3 linked regions of the Drosophila melanogaster genome follow. The protein of the gene in region 1 interacts with the protein of each later gene in a pairwise test. Each region holds a gene or a part of one and is shown in the gene's direction. Other genes may lie near its edges.

Region 1 (3,669 bases):
TTGACTTGGTTACCAATTTGTTTTCAGAAATATAAATACGGTAGCGTGCACTGGAACAGCTTTTGCACAACCTACCAGGATCCTATGTACTACTAATTAACTACTCAATTTTCGCTCGCTTTCAATCACATCTTTAATAGATCATCCTCAATCATCTTAAGCATAGTCTTAACAACTCATGTTGGGTGGCGAAAAGGTTTTGCCAAGCGAGAAAAATTCATATCAATTAGAATGGAGTGGAGCTTTTGGAGTGGATGCAATGCATCCTTAAGCCTTTCAATAGAACTTATTGTGCATGTCTGCGGTGAACAACGTAACGCGATCACAAACATCAATGTTATAATGGAAAGTGTGTGTTAACTGAGTGAGTGTGTGTGGGTGTGTGTGTGTGTGTGTGTGTGTGTGTGTGTGCTAGAACTGCAGCCGCTTCTTCTGGGCCAATCCATTGCCCCTCACCGTAGTCTCGACCAGCTTGCGCTTGAGCGCAGGCTTCGTGTCGCCGGTCTGCGGATTGGCGCCCTCCTTGGCGGCCAGAATGGCCGACGGCATTGGCAACTTGGGACCCACTGTGGGCGCCGGTTTGTTAGCGAAATACGGCATGCTCAGTGCCTCGCGGCAGGACACACGCCGCAGCGGATTCATGGCAAACAGGCGTTGCATCAGATGGATCAAGTCATTGCCCGCGGCGGTGAATATATTGTCCAATGGTGTGCCCGGAAAGTTGCGAAACTGCAGATAGTCGTGCAGTTTGCTCAAATGCGGCCATTCAGCTTCCGTGGGTGTTCCCAGTGTGGAAAAGATCCGTGTCAGCTGATCCAGATCCGAATCGCCCGGCATGAACGGCACTCGCAGCATAAGTTCAGCCAAAATGCAGCCAACTGCCCACATATCCACACCGGTGCCATATTGTCGGGCGCCAAAGAGCAATTCGGGCGAACGATACCAGCGTGTGACCACGTGGTGCGTGTAAATGCGATTGGGCGAACCGAAGGACTTGGCCAAACCGAAATCGCCAATCTTTAGGATGCCATCGCTGTTGACCAGCAAATTGTTGGGCTTCAAATCGCGGTGCAGTATCCAATTGAGATGCAAATACTCCAGACCCTTTAGCGTCATGATGGCATAGGCCTTGATGTTCGCCTGCGTTAATATAATCTTGTTATCCTTGATGATCACCTCCAGATCCGTGTCCATGAAGTCGAAAACCAGCGAGACATTCGAAAGTTGACCGAAAACGTCCACCAAGCCAATGATATTCTCGTGCTGCAGCTCCTGCAATATCTTGATCTCACGCAGCGCTGTCCTGTTGATACCGTCGCGTGCATCCTCGCGCGATCCCTTCTTGATCTTCTTTACGGCCACAATTTGGTTGGTCACCGTGTCGCGCGCCTTGTAAACTGTGGCAAACTGCGGTGCGAAAGTGGAATGCGCACATTGTTATGGATCGTTGGGTTGATATTCCGTGGCGGCGGACTCACCTGACCCTCGCCGAGGAAGGATAGCTTGGCATAGCGTTCCGTTTTGTCATTCGCATTGGGCAGCATCGTTTAGGAGCCTCATAAATAGCACGAAAATGACTGAAATGCTGCGAGGCCGAATCAAAACAATTCAAGTTCGCAAACGCTATCGATGGCCGATAACCGATGGACGCCGGTAGGGCCTATCGCGCGCCCCAAAAAAAATACTAGATTTCAGAGTCTATTAAGAATAATGCAAAAACAGCGTATTGCTCCTTTATTGCTAATCAATTTTATAGTTTAACAAGTTATGCAAATAATACACAACTGTCAATTTAAATTAGCTGCATGTGATTGTCATTTAATTTTAGCTACTTTTAGCTATGTGCAGTTTAACAACACTGCCAAACACCGGTGCGATAACATATCGATAGACCGCCCCAAACGATGCCTTCTGCTATCGATGACAGACTCGTTTTTTTTCTCAACAATACAGAGCAAATTGGTTGATTTTTGTCGAATTAAGTGAATAAAACGCACGACAGGATGGAGATGCTACCCAACCAAACGATTTACATCAACAATCTGAACGAGAAGATCAAGAAGGAGGAGCTAAAGAAGTCGCTCTATGCGATTTTCTCGCAATTCGGCCAAATTCTGGACATTGTGGCCCTAAAAACGCTCAAAATGCGCGGCCAGGCATTTGTGATCTTCAAGGAGATCGGCAGCGCTTCGAATGCCCTGCGCACCATGCAGGGCTTCCCGTTCTACGACAAGCCCATGCAGATCGCCTACTCCAAATCCGATTCGGATATTGTGGCCAAGATAAAGGGTACCTTCAAGGAGCGCCCCAAGAAGGTCAAGCCACCAAAACCAGCGCCGGGTACCGATGAGAAGAAGTGAGTATCCCAATTGCTAATTGGGCCCGTTTAGATTCAATCATTTGTTGCCAACGGCCATGGTGCTACCATTTGTTGCTCCCTGTTGCCTCGCAAAAACCCAATGTTTTCATTCGCACGCCTGAAATCCTTTTTGCTACTAAAAACATTTCCGCATTAACCAATGTTAGTTTTTGGCCAGAATTATGGACTTGAAAACCAAGAGGTGTCTCAAGTCTTCATAATATCTTTAGTTATCAACTCCTTTTTGCTCTTTAATCGATGCGATTTGAGTTTCAGTTGCAAAATGTTTCATTTTTGTTCATTTTTGCGCGACAAAAATCCGTAGTAATCCTAGTTTTCTGGGATGTGCGAATGACTAGGCAAAAAAAAAATGCAACTTCATGTGACACTAAGACAACTCCTTTTTTTTTCGTTTCGCACAGGGACAAGAAGAAGAAGCCGAGCAGCGCCGAGAACTCGAACCCGAACGCACAGACCGAGCAGCCGCCGAACCAGATCCTCTTCCTCACCAATCTGCCCGAGGAGACCAACGAGATGATGCTGTCCATGCTGTTCAATCAGTTCCCCGGCTTCAAGGAGGTGCGTCTTGTGCCGAATCGTCACGACATCGCCTTTGTGGAGTTCACCACCGAGTTGCAGAGCAATGCCGCCAAGGAGGCGCTGCAGGGCTTCAAGATTACGCCGACGCACGCCATGAAGATAACGTTCGCCAAGAAGTGAACGCAACTCCAGTCGCCGGGCGTTCCAGCAACTCCAATAATAATTTAAACTATAGAATAAATCGATATAAACAAACAAACTACGAGTATTCCATATGCCCATATCCCTCCCATATCCCATTTCGCCCAAAGATCCTTAAAGGCAAAAGTATAGAATAGAATAGTTGATTGTTTATTGTGTAGATCTATTTGTTTGTCTGCAAACTTATAACTAACAGCTAGTAATGCGTATTATTTATGTCGGTCGATTGTACATATTTCCATTTAGTGTATAGTATATGGTGTATAGTAGTATATATATATATATATATAGCGTCCCTTTGCTCAGTCTGCATGGTGTATCAAGCTCGCTGCAAAATCAACATCAGTTTGGTGTGCGGGAGCGTGTGTTGAGTAAGTCCCACAAGTCCTCGGATTCCCAAAATGTTTGCTATATGTAGAATCGTTCAGCGACGTAGTCCTCCTCCGCCGTAACAACATCATCAGGCTTACAATTGTAATGCAATCATCATACTTTAGGCACCACAAATGATGAGTATTATGAGTGTGCATAATAAATCTGGGATAAGTGTGTGTATTATATATATATAT
Region 2 (3,530 bases), on another chromosome or scaffold:
TACGGAGCTAATCTTTTCTGAAATTAATAATCTGTTCATGCTTTCGAGTATAAACTTTAAAAGTGCTAAGCCACGGGTACAGAATAATAGTCTATAACGTGAATGTTTTTGGCAATAATCAGTCGTCAAATTCGAACAATGGTTTGCCATTGGTGTCCCAGGTGTTTTTGCATTTCTTAAAGGCACAAACCAAATAAAGAGCTGAAATAAGAAGCTATTTAGTAATGGAATTCAGAAGTCGATGCTGAGTAAACTCACTTGCTGCTTCCCATTCGGATTTCGAGAGGGTTCCCACCGACCTGCTTCGCTGTGCTCCCTGAAAGTTACTCACATGGGCGAACTCTTCATCATTCTCGCAGCGCTGTGGCTGCACCGACTCCAAGCCGGACATTCGCTGCAGAAGATGCCGCCCGTGGTGCAGATTTTCCTTGTAGTAATCCGCAAATGTGGAGCGCTTCAATAGCTGCAGACCGTATTTTCTGCCCAGCTTGACCAGCGTGGGAAAATGCACTAGGAACTCGGGGCAATCGACAACGCCCTCCAAGTGAAACTGATACTTGGCTCCGAAAAGCGGCAAAGGATCCGTTTCGCAGTCAAATTCAATGCTGTACACATCGTTACCGAAACGCCGGGCATCTGGACCGGCTGCCCTTAGCCTGCGGATGATCTCGTAGGCATCCGGCATTGTGGCTATGAAGAAGCCACCGGGTTTCAGACACTCGGCTGCATTCCGCATCATGCAATCTGCCTGCGCCATTGACTCGAAGCAATAGTGAAAGGCAAACTGACAGGACACGAGATTCAGCTGAAGCGAAGGATCCTTATACCGTTCCCGCAGGCGCACTAATGTGGAGTCGCAGGCAAAAAACTCCGCGGTAAACTTATTCGCAAATTTCGACTTCTCCGATCGCTGCAGGATGTCCTGATATCGCCGCTGGCACTGCTCCACCGACACCTCAGCGATGTCGGTGCAGATGAGGTGGGAGATGGCAGCCTTCTCCCATTTGAGAAGGTCACCGCCCTTGCCGCAGCACATGTCCAGAACTCTGAGAGCATCACCCATGCGTTTGTTCTGCTTAATCTGCGACATATACTCGTTGATCAGCTGGCTCTTGATCCAGTTGTTAAAGTTCCTCATGAAGAATATCTTTGACTTCTGACGATCCTTGCGGCCCGCCTCCTTCAGCTCGTTGTAGTGGTGTGCCACCACATGTGTGTTGGCCGCTCCGCTGGCAGCCTCCGTTTCCGGCTCATCCTGATCATCTGCTCCACTTCCATTGCCCTTCCCGCCAGGCTCATCGTAGTACTCCCTCGGTGATTTACTAACATGCGGCTCCTGATTTGGTGCAGACGTGGTCTCCGCTTGGCCCTCGCTCTCCTCGTCGTCCGACAGGCTGACTGCTTTGTGTGCGCGGGCGAACTGCTCGTCTGCCGCGTTTTGTTCGTAATTAAGACTCATAGTCTCTATTAATTTTCTGTTTTGCCGGATGACCAACAGTCGTTGCCTATCGAAGTTATCGGGTCAGTTAGGAATGAGTGCACGAGTGCTATCGGCACTCGATGTTATTTCGCGCGGAAAGTATTCAGAATAAGAAATATACATTTTAGATTTAAATTTATTTTTCTTCCTAATTAATTTTTTATAAACCAATATTCTCTAAACCATCCTCATTAGCTACTTTTAAGATTAAAGCTAAACAGATTTTAAAAGTTCCATCACTAGTCAAGCACTAGTTAACAGTGCTGTTAATGGAAAACATCAATCAGCTGTTGGTAACTCATGCATTTCTTAACTTTTTAAATGCGGTTGCTTGGAACTTTGAATAAATTTGTTAAATTATTGAATTATTCCCTTGCCCGGAATTTTCCAAAACGCAGCATGGCCTGCAGCAGATTCGAGTACGTTAAATCCTTTGAGCAGGACGACAGCATACTGCCTAATGTGTGGATAGTCATACGAATAGACGGCAAAAAGTTCCACAAGTTCTCCAAGACGCACGATTTTGAAAAGCCCAACGATGAAAATGGTAAGAAAAAACACTCATTATAGTTCTTAATAATCCCATTAAATATTCGCTTTAGCTCTCAATGTGATGAATGCTGCTGCCACGGCGGTGATGCAGGAGTTTCGGGATATTGTCCTCGCCTACGGTCAAAGTGATGAGTACTCCTTTGTTTTTCGCAAAGAGACGGCAGCGTTCAAGCGACGATCCGCCAAACTGCTCACCTACGTCACCAGCTTGTTCTCCTCGAGCTATGTAATGCAATGGTCCAAGTGGATGAATCTGCCATTGGCCTATGCTCCGTGTTTCGATGGTCGCGTTGTTCTGTATCCTTCGGAGCAGAATCTAAAGGACTATCTCAGCTGGCGACAGGCCGATGTGCATGTGAACAACCTGTACAATACCGCCTTTTGGAAACTCGTTTTGGAAAAAGGCCTGACGAACCAGCAAGCCGAGGCGAAACTCCGTGGCACCTTTTCGGCGGACAAAAATGAGCTGCTCTTCCAGGAATTCGGGATAAATTACAACAATCTGCCGGCAATGTACAGAAAGGGAACGATTCTGCTGAGAAAACGCGTGATATTGGGTGAGAAGAGCAGGCAGGCCGTGGTGCCGCTGCACGAGGATCTGATATCTTCGCAGTTCTGGAAGGAACACACCGAAATATTGGGAAAATATGTGCCAGGCACATACGACGCACCACAAACTTTTCCCCGATTGGTGGAGATGCAAATAAATGGCAAGGATGACAATGAGGCGGAGGAGCCACAAAATCTGGCTGGTACCAGCTGATATAATAACGAATAGTCTTGCATTTTTAAAGATTAAAGTTACGATACATCTAAGGAAGTCGTTTCGGAGATTGAGGATGCGGTGCCCAGGCTGCTGGAGTGAAGGACAAACGGATGATCCGTAATGAAGAGTAGCTAATAGTTGAAAGTTCAACTTATGGCATATATTTTAAGATTAAATCTACACTAAGCTCATAGAAAGACTATTTCCTACTAGTAGTCGTCGTCGTCATCGTCATCGTCATCCTCACTTGGCTTGCTGGCAACGGAGCCGTCTGCCAGCGGTGGTCGCTGCACCATTGCTGCCGCTTGCATGCTCATCCACTGCTGCTGCTCCTCGCGCGCCTGCTCCTCGCGTGCCTTGGCGAACAGCTCCTGCTGCTGGCGCAGCAGCTCCTCCTCCGGAATGCCCAGGTTCTCTAGGCGCGTGCTCTGGCGCCTTCGCTTGGCTGCCACCTCCTTGCAGTCGTGCAGAACGGCCTCCGCCTCTTGTTTGTAGTCGTGAAAACCCAAGCGTTCCAACGCCTCCAGGACGTGCTCTGCGTTTATCGTCTTCTTGTTGCGCATGTTGCACACCTCGTTGGCCTCCGAACTGATCAGATGAATGAACTCTGAGCAGCAGTTGAGTATCAGCTCGCGACTCTCGTTGGCCACCCGCACCGTGGGCACCAGCTCCTTGATGATCTTGTTGATGCTGGCCCGTGGCAGGGTCAGCTCGTCGTCCTCGGCGCTGGGC
Region 3 (7,852 bases), on another chromosome or scaffold:
CGATGCGCACACCTCCGAAATTCCGGAAGCGATTGAACATCTCTGCGTTAATGAATTTAGCAATGTTCGGATCGGCCAGAGCGCGGTCCATCAGCCAGTTGATGAAGTAGCAGCCGGGTTCGATTGTGACATACATGCCGGCCTTAAGGATGCGGGCAAAGCGCAGCTTGCTCAGCCACGGTTCACTGGGGCGCTTGGGCTCCTTGGGCAGATAGCCGCCCACGTCGTGCACATCCAGACCGATCAAGTGGCCCAGGCCATGTGGCTGGAACACGCCCGAAACACCTGCCTCGAGCATCTCCTCCACATCGCCCTTGAGCATGCCGCCCTCCTTCAGGCGCTGCAGCAACACCCTGCCCGCCAGCTTGTGCATGTCCACCCAGGAGACTCCGTCACGGGCTGACTCTGTGACCGCATTGCGGGCATCCAGCACGGCATTGTAGATGAACTTCTGGTCGTCGGTGAACTTTCCATTGGCCGGGAATGTGCAGGTTATGTCGGCCGCATAGCCACAATAGTTGGCTCCCATATCGAACAGGCAGAGATCACCATCCTGGACGGGCTTGCTGTTGGGTGCGCCCGCGTGTCCATAGTGCAAGATCGACGAGTTCGTTCCGCTGCCGCATATGCAGGTGTAGGAGGCATGCCGGCAGCCGCCCACGGAGTAGGCGTGGTGCAGGAACAGGGATTCGCCCTCAAATTCCATTCTACCGGGACGCATAAACCGCATCACCTTGATGTGCGCGTCCGAGGATACCTTGGCCACGTAGCGCAGCACCTCGATCTCTTCGGGTGACTTGATCACTCGGCACTCAGAGAGAATTGGATACAGCAGATTGCAGTCAGTCACATACTTCTCCTTGCCAGCAAAGTCGGGCGGCTGAAGGGTGAGCCCGCTATCGCTGTTGGTGCCACTCAATGTGAGTATCAGCTTGGGCGACGCCCCCTCCAGATAAACACTCATTTCGTCAACATAAAACACCTCGTCCACCTCGTACATGGCCTTGAACTCCTGCAGCCCAAGCAGTTCGCCCATCCAGGTGCCGTACTCATCGGGAAAGCGAGGAACAAAGAGAACACTTTTCTGTGCACCAGTTTTCACATCAATGGTTAGGATGCCGTAGCAGCCCGGCTCCTTGACACCGAACAAGTACTGGAAATAGGACTCCTGCCGGAAAACGTAGTCCACGTCGGTGTTGTACAGGCTCTGGTCCTTGCCGCCCTCGAGGAGCACCAGCAGGTTGCCGTCGTTGAACTTGAGGCCCGGCAGCAGCTCCTTAAGGATGGCCTTGCCAGCACGATCCCTGTTGTTCCGGAAGAGGGTCATGGGCACTGCGTAACCCGATCCCATCTGAAAGGCGGCCATGGTGTTGCGACGGAGGACAAAGTTTAACTGGCGCTCTGGACAACAATGAGTGCTCGAGCAAGTGAGATTAGCTGATAATAGCCAATAACCGGGCTAACAAAGGCAGTAAATTATGTGGGTTTTATCAGTGTTTTTTGTTTTCTGTTTTCGCAAAAGTATGACCGAGAACTGAACGCGAAAAAAAACAAGCTTAAATTACAATTCATCGATCGGGAATTTTATTTTTTTAAATATATTCTTTAATATTTTTAATTAGCTCAATTCATTTATTTATCATACGGTTTTCCTTTTTGGCAGCCGACCTTGAAAATAAAGGATTTCCCTAAATAAACACAGATTAACATTTTGTTCAAATGAGCTAGCAATTGAAACTAGTTCCGCAGAGCGAGGCACAGAAACTATCGATAACCTACAGCATCGGCATCATTCCCAAGTCTGGTCACACTGGAAGTGGCTTTTTTTGCAAATTTTATTTTCATAATTGAGAAAAATTTGCATTTTAAAGCGAAACAGCAACGGATTAAGCTCTCGAATCTCAACAATATAACAGCCAGCTTGTGGGCGCAGCCAGCAGAGCATCACCAGTATTAAGTATAGGGCGAACGCAGCCCAGTGACCGTTTTCCACCTACTATCCAATTTCAATGTCGGCGTCACAACGCGGCGGATGCAACAACAAATGAGTCGTTGTTCTGTTCCAAGCTAATTAAGTACACGCTGTGTGGGCCGCCGACTCCAATGCGCCGCTAGCGGGGATCACGAGCAGTTGGCGTCATGTCCAGTTCGGTGTTTACGGAGGCGCCCAGCGCCCGGCCGGCGGCAGCCGAAGCCGACTCCAATCTGGTTGTGGTCTACAGCAAGAGCGGAATCTCCTTCGACGAGCGTGCGATTGGGAACATCATGGGTAAGTGGGTCCAATAGGCCTGACACACGCTCATTGCTCCCCACACTGACATGGGCTTGTTGCAGAGGAAAAATCGATTTCCACCATTAGCGTGGTGCGGATTACATCGCCCACGCCGAGCATGGTGGACCAAGAGGAAGACGAACGGCTGGAGGAGCTGGCGAACTTTATGGAAACTGCCACCGACTCGGAGCTGGACAGTGACAATGGCAGCCAAAGTGGTGGCGATAATGCCAGTGAGATGGATGAACACGACGAGGAGAACCATAACACCGGTGACGACAACAATAGCGACTCCACGGAGACGGAAGCCGATGCCCCGCGCACACGCAAGCGAGTTGGCCGAAAGCCCAAGGCCATCAAAAAGCGAAAGCGACGCAAACCCAAGGAGCGTCCACAAATTGTGGGTTTGCGAGTGGAGCAGTTTTATGCGGACAACACGGCTGATATGGTTGTGAAAAATGCACTGAGTAAATAACGTACATCGATGTGGTCCAAATGATAAAGCAAAACAACATCATTATTTCGAGCACAACGAAAGTAAACGAACTTTAGCTTTCAACTAATTTGTATTCTATTTACAGAGCTTGCCGGAGTTTCCGTCTACAAAAGGACTGCGGAGACAGACGCTCTTATGGAAGTTATTCGAAATGACCACAACTACACACCGTTTACCTCGCCAGAGCAGCTGAAGAACCACAAGCGCGATGAGAAGATGGCCATGGAAATGCAGGCCCAAAGCCGCAAAATCATAATGCAGGCACCGGGCAGTGTCAAGCTAATCAATGCCAAAAAACGAGTCCAGGCCATACCCTTAAGCCCGGTGCAGGTCAAGGTCCAGAGACTGCCAGTCAAGCCCCACCAAGTTCAGCAGGCAGCGCAGCTGCAACCGAAAGTGCAGCTGATCCGCAAGCCCATCCATTCGCCACTGCCAAGACAGAAGCCAGAGATTATCGCGAACAATTCGGTCAATGCCAGGCTGAGGCCCACTCGTGCTCCAGTCAAAGTGATTGCTCCGCCTGTGCAGGAATACATCGAAGATGATGATGACGCCCAAAGCTCGGATTCCGCCGAAGAGGAAAATGCCGACAAGGCCTATGATTCGGAGGAAATGAGTGAGGAGAGCGATGAGTTCCAGGAATCGGACAACGACAGGGACAGTGACATGGACTTCGATATGAGGCATAGCAATAGACGTAATCCGAATAAGAGGAAGCGGGTTAGAAAGGTGGTTAGGCAGACTCCCAGCAAACCAATGAAGCCGCTGCCTCCGCCACCCACAACGCCGCAGCACTTCCCCGAGCTGAAGAAACGCAAGGAAGTTTTGGAGCCGAAGGCGCCGCAAATTGGGCAAATAATCCAGATGCCTGCCACAAAATCAGTGCCCGCAGTGTTTGCCCTAGGCAGAGGTCTTCCAAGCACATCGTTTCTCAAAATCCGGCCCACACATCAATCGCTGCCTGTGAAGAGACCTCCACTGCCAACGACACCGGCCAATTCCAATGTTCGTCGTATGCCTGCCGTGCAATTGGGAAGGATCGTAAACTCGCCGCAGGAAGTTAAAGAGATTATTATCAACAAGAATATGGCCAGTCCCAAAGGAGTGTTTACCAATCTCAACACTTTGCTGGGTGAGGACAACAATGCAGCCACAAAATCTTCGCCAGTTCCACTCCGACACCGGGCCGTCATGTCGCCAAGCACGCCGAGATCGAGCTACAATCAGCAGATGTCGCCAATTGTGGTTCCGGTTCCTGCTCAGGCACATACCCCATCCAAGGGCTTCATGCCCATCGGCGTGGACACAGCTCAGTCGCATAAACTGCCCGCCCAAATAGTAATCGAGACGCACCAGAGTTCCTCCGAGCTGGCAGCAGAAAATGACAAGCAGCTCGATCTGATCAACTCGATTGTGCAGGACGAGCTACTTAAGTCCACGCTTGTGGAGCAGCCGGTAGTAAATGCGGACGAGGATATACCGAAACTGGTTAAGATGCTGGAGAGTACAGCGGCGGATCTAGATCCGCCACCAGTGTCCTTGCCTACGAATATTTTTCCAGCTCCCGAGATGCAGGGAGTGGGAAATGCAGCTGCAGCCGATCCGAATAATATAATGGATACGGCGAATGAGGATGAGATTACAGCTGATTTTCTCCAGCACGTGGTCGGTCTCATCGAGGAGGACAAACAGTTTGAGGCCGAGGTGGTTAAGCAAGTATTGGCTAGTACAGAGCCCGGAACCCTGGACGCCATCGTATCTATGCCTACGTCCATTGAGCCCGTAGACGTGCCGCAAGTACAGGCAAGTGTAGAATATCCTGGTTATTGATTTTGCTAGCTAACTGCATTGCTCCTTTACAGGCACACACGAACCTACTGCCGAATGCAAGTCTTACGGAGCCCGCACAATCGATGACCTCATTGCCGATTGCCTGCAGTACACCCTCGAGGAGCGTGGCAGCAAGCACTCCGCCCACCTCCGCGAAGGTTGTGCGCGGCTACGGTCGGGTCATATACCTGCCTCCCATTGAAGCCCCCACCACGCGGGCCAAGCGACGAGCACAGTTTCCTTCAGCTCCGGGCATGGCTGCGACCAGTTCCAGTGATGCAGGCAACCTGTCGTTTGGTGAATCTTCGTTGGATGCGAGCATCAATCAGCCGCTCAATACCAGCAGCCTGAGCAATGACAGCCAGCCGGGAAGTGGGCCGAAACGACCCAATCCTAGAGAGCCATCGATGGCCAGACGTTCAACGGCACCCAGAAGATCAAAGAAGCTTGATGCAAGTCAGAACAATGATCCCGACGCTTCAGAGTCTCAGGAGGATGACGATGACCCCAACAAGTAAGATTATAGTTGGATATTTCATAGATGCAAATCTGTGCGTTTGTTGAAAACCTTTTTTGTTTTTTTTTTTTTTTTTTTGGTTTAGGCTCTGGTGCATTTGTCGTCAGCCACACAACAATCGTTTCATGATCTGCTGCGATTTGTGCGAGGATTGGTTCCACGGCACATGCGTGGGGGTGACCAAGGCGATGGGCACAGATATGGAAAACAAGGGCATCGACTGGAAGTGCCCCAAATGCGTTAAAAGGCAGGAGGAGAGGGTAAAGTCATACAATAGACATAAAGTTACCTTTTATTGATTCGTTATCTTTGTAGAGCCAACCACGAATAACAGACATGTTGGTCACCAGACCAACCACTCAACCTGAGCAGAGGCCGAGTGAAACCAAAGTACTAACTACGACAGCAGAAATTGTTCAGGTCGCGGCTCCTTCGGCTCCCAGAAGAACACTACCGGTGGTCTTAACTGTAGCCAGTTCCCCCATGCGTATTCCAATGGCAAAGCCGGCCAAAAAGTTCCCAACCGGTGCAATCTCTCACCAGCAGCAGCAGCAGCTGAACTTTATCAGACTGGGCCCATCACCTGGCAAACGAATTTCGGAGACGTTATGTGTGGTCTGCAAGCGACCGGCGAGCACCTCTTCCGTCTATTGTGGCGAAGAGTGCATCCGGAAGTATGCCCAAAGTGCAATTCAAGCACATGCTGCTACCAAAGGCCCATTGCCACAGAATGCCGGTGCTCAGTCTTTGCTGAACAACTCCTTCGATGCCAAAAAGAACAAGAAGAAGGACTTGTTTGAGGACGTGCTGAGGCAAGCGGACACTGTGTCAAAAGTGGAACGGGTATGCAATAAAGGTTAATTTAATTAGAACTATACAACAAATAATGTGCACACTTTGCTTTGCAGATTAATGTGTTTGAGCGTAAAAGTGGTCGGGTTATCACCGGGCACATGGCCCCTTCTGCACATCAGTTTCGGAAATGGCTTCAGGAGAATCCCTCCTTCGAGGTGCTGCCCTCAGGAACCGTTCAGTCAGCCGACGCAGAGAAGCGTTTGCTGAAAGGGGCACCGGAAGCCGCCACCTCAACTTCAGAACCCGCCGTGCTAGGAGTTGCAAAAAAGCCACCTGAAGGTCCTGCCAAATTGTCCCATCCCCAAAACACCACAGTTCAGGCAAGCCACCAACTTGGAATCTCTTCCGTGCGTCCTTTGGCCAAAAAGGATAAAGAGAAGACAACACCTACAGTACAGGCGCCAACCCCTAATCGTATCGCAGCGGGCAAACCCGAGCCGGTTCGAATCGGCATCCGGCGATCACTCAGGGAGCAACTACTAGCGCGAATCAAAGAAGCTCAGGCTGCCGAGGAGAACTCTGGCCAGCCAACGACTCAGTGGCCGACCGTACTTGAGGTGGATCAGTTTGTCAAGAACGTGGAGCTGGAAATGTTCAACTCGTTTGGCCGAGACGTGGGAGCCAAGTACAAGGCCAAGTATCGATCGCTTATGTTCAACATAAAGGATCGCAAGAACCGAACGCTTTTCGAAAAGATTTGTGCCAAGCAAGTGGAGCCCAGGCAGTTGGTGCGGATGACGCCGGAACAGCTGGCCAGCCAAGAGTTGGCCAAGTGGCGGGAGGAGGAAAACCGTCACCAGTTGGATATGATCAAGAAATCGGAGCTGGACTTGTTGGCATGTGCCCAAAACTATGTGGTGAAAACACACAAGGGAGAGGAGGTAATCGCCACCAAAGTGGATGTTACGCTGCCCGAAGAGAACGTTAGTGAAGCATCATCTATGGCGGACACAAAACAGACGTCGCTGGTCAGTGAGCCGTCTACCTCCACACTGGAACGTTCCACGTCCAGGGAAAAGGCGGGTTCATCGAAGGAAAAGCGACACAAGAGCCACAAGCATCATCATCGAAAGCGCAGTCGAAGTCGTTCCAATAGTCGGGGTCGAAGCGTCGATAAGCGCCATCGCAGGCAGCACAACGAAGGAGGAGAGCAGCCAGGCAGCGGGGAGCGTGAGCATAGATCGCGTGAGAAACAGAGCCGGGAAAGGGATGAGATCGTTCCATCACCCTTGCCCAAGAAGAGGGACGAAAACGACCAATCGCCGGTACCCAAAAAGACGGCGGAAAAGAAAACCGAGGCGAGTGCTTACAACTTGGTTGATCAAATTCTGGAATCGGAGAAAACAGTCGAGCAGGCGGCGAATCTAGGCAAACCAAAGCCGTCACCCAAGCCACTTCCAACGCTTCCGAGTTCTTTGAAGGCACCTGAGCCAATGGACAACTACTCCCGCTACTTGCACGGCCTGACGACGAGTTCACTGTGGTCCGGTACTCTCAAGATGATCGATTTGGCCGACTTCGAAATCGTCATGTACCCCGTGCAGGGTAACTGCCATCAATTGGGTAACCTGATGCCAAGTCAGATGGACGTAATCGGTCGCATAACCCGCGTTAATGTCTGGGAATATATCAAGAAGCTAAAGAAGAGTCCCACAAAGGAAGTGGTCATTGTGAACATATTCCCCGCCTCGCCCAGCGAAACGTATAAGTTTGATCTCTTCTTCGAATACCTGGACTCGCGTCAGCGTCTGGGCGTCCTGGGCGTGGACTCGGATCAGATACGCGACTTTTACATATTCCCCTTGGGTAGCGGCGATAAGTTGCCACCAGCGCTGCAGACCGCGGAGCCAGTTCCCTTCTACGAAGAAGCGCAAAGACCCAA

Evidence for each region.
Region 2: the proteins of snf (region 1) and THG interact in binary tests that used the Drosophila melanogaster proteins (3 or more experiments, as listed by UniProt).
Region 3: the proteins of snf (region 1) and pps interact in a two-hybrid assay, tested with the Drosophila melanogaster proteins (one study listed by BioGRID).

The regions. Positions count from the first base shown.
Region 1 is NC_004354.4:5,307,351-5,311,019, forward strand, and holds snf (sans fille), read left to right. Parts: upstream 1-1,891; 5' UTR 1,892-2,003; coding exon 2,004-2,356; intron 2,357-2,781; coding exon 2,782-3,079; 3' UTR 3,080-3,151; downstream 3,152-3,669. Other genes in the region: Cdk7 (Cyclin-dependent kinase 7), read right to left, coding at 412-1,407, 1,479-1,544. UniProt on the Drosophila melanogaster protein: Binds stem loop II of U1 snRNA. It is the first snRNP to interact with pre-mRNA. This interaction is required for the subsequent binding of U2 snRNP and the U4/U6/U5 tri-snRNP. Plays a role in regulating sex-lethal splicing.
Region 2 is NT_033779.5:15,007,947-15,011,476, reverse strand, and holds THG (tRNA-histidine guanylyltransferase), read left to right. Parts: upstream 1-1,752; 5' UTR 1,753-1,773; intron 1,774-1,784; exon of another isoform or gene 1,785-1,878; 5' UTR 1,879-1,879; coding exon 1,880-2,027; intron 2,028-2,082; coding exon 2,083-2,795; 3' UTR 2,796-2,988; downstream 2,989-3,530. Other genes in the region: Rnmt (RNA guanine-7 methyltransferase), read right to left, coding at 119-201, 259-1,459; NC2beta (negative cofactor 2beta), read right to left, coding at 3,008-3,530. UniProt on the Drosophila melanogaster protein: Adds a GMP to the 5'-end of tRNA(His) after transcription and RNase P cleavage.
Region 3 is NT_033777.3:12,412,018-12,419,869, forward strand, and holds the start of pps (protein partner of snf), read left to right. Parts: upstream 1-1,810; 5' UTR 1,811-2,139; coding exon 2,140-2,269; intron 2,270-2,334; coding exon 2,335-2,739; intron 2,740-2,853; coding exon 2,854-4,571; intron 4,572-4,630; coding exon 4,631-5,112; intron 5,113-5,200; coding exon 5,201-5,375; intron 5,376-5,430; coding exon 5,431-5,958; intron 5,959-6,023; coding exon 6,024-7,852. Other genes in the region: Dip-C (dipeptidase C), read right to left, coding at 1-1,366.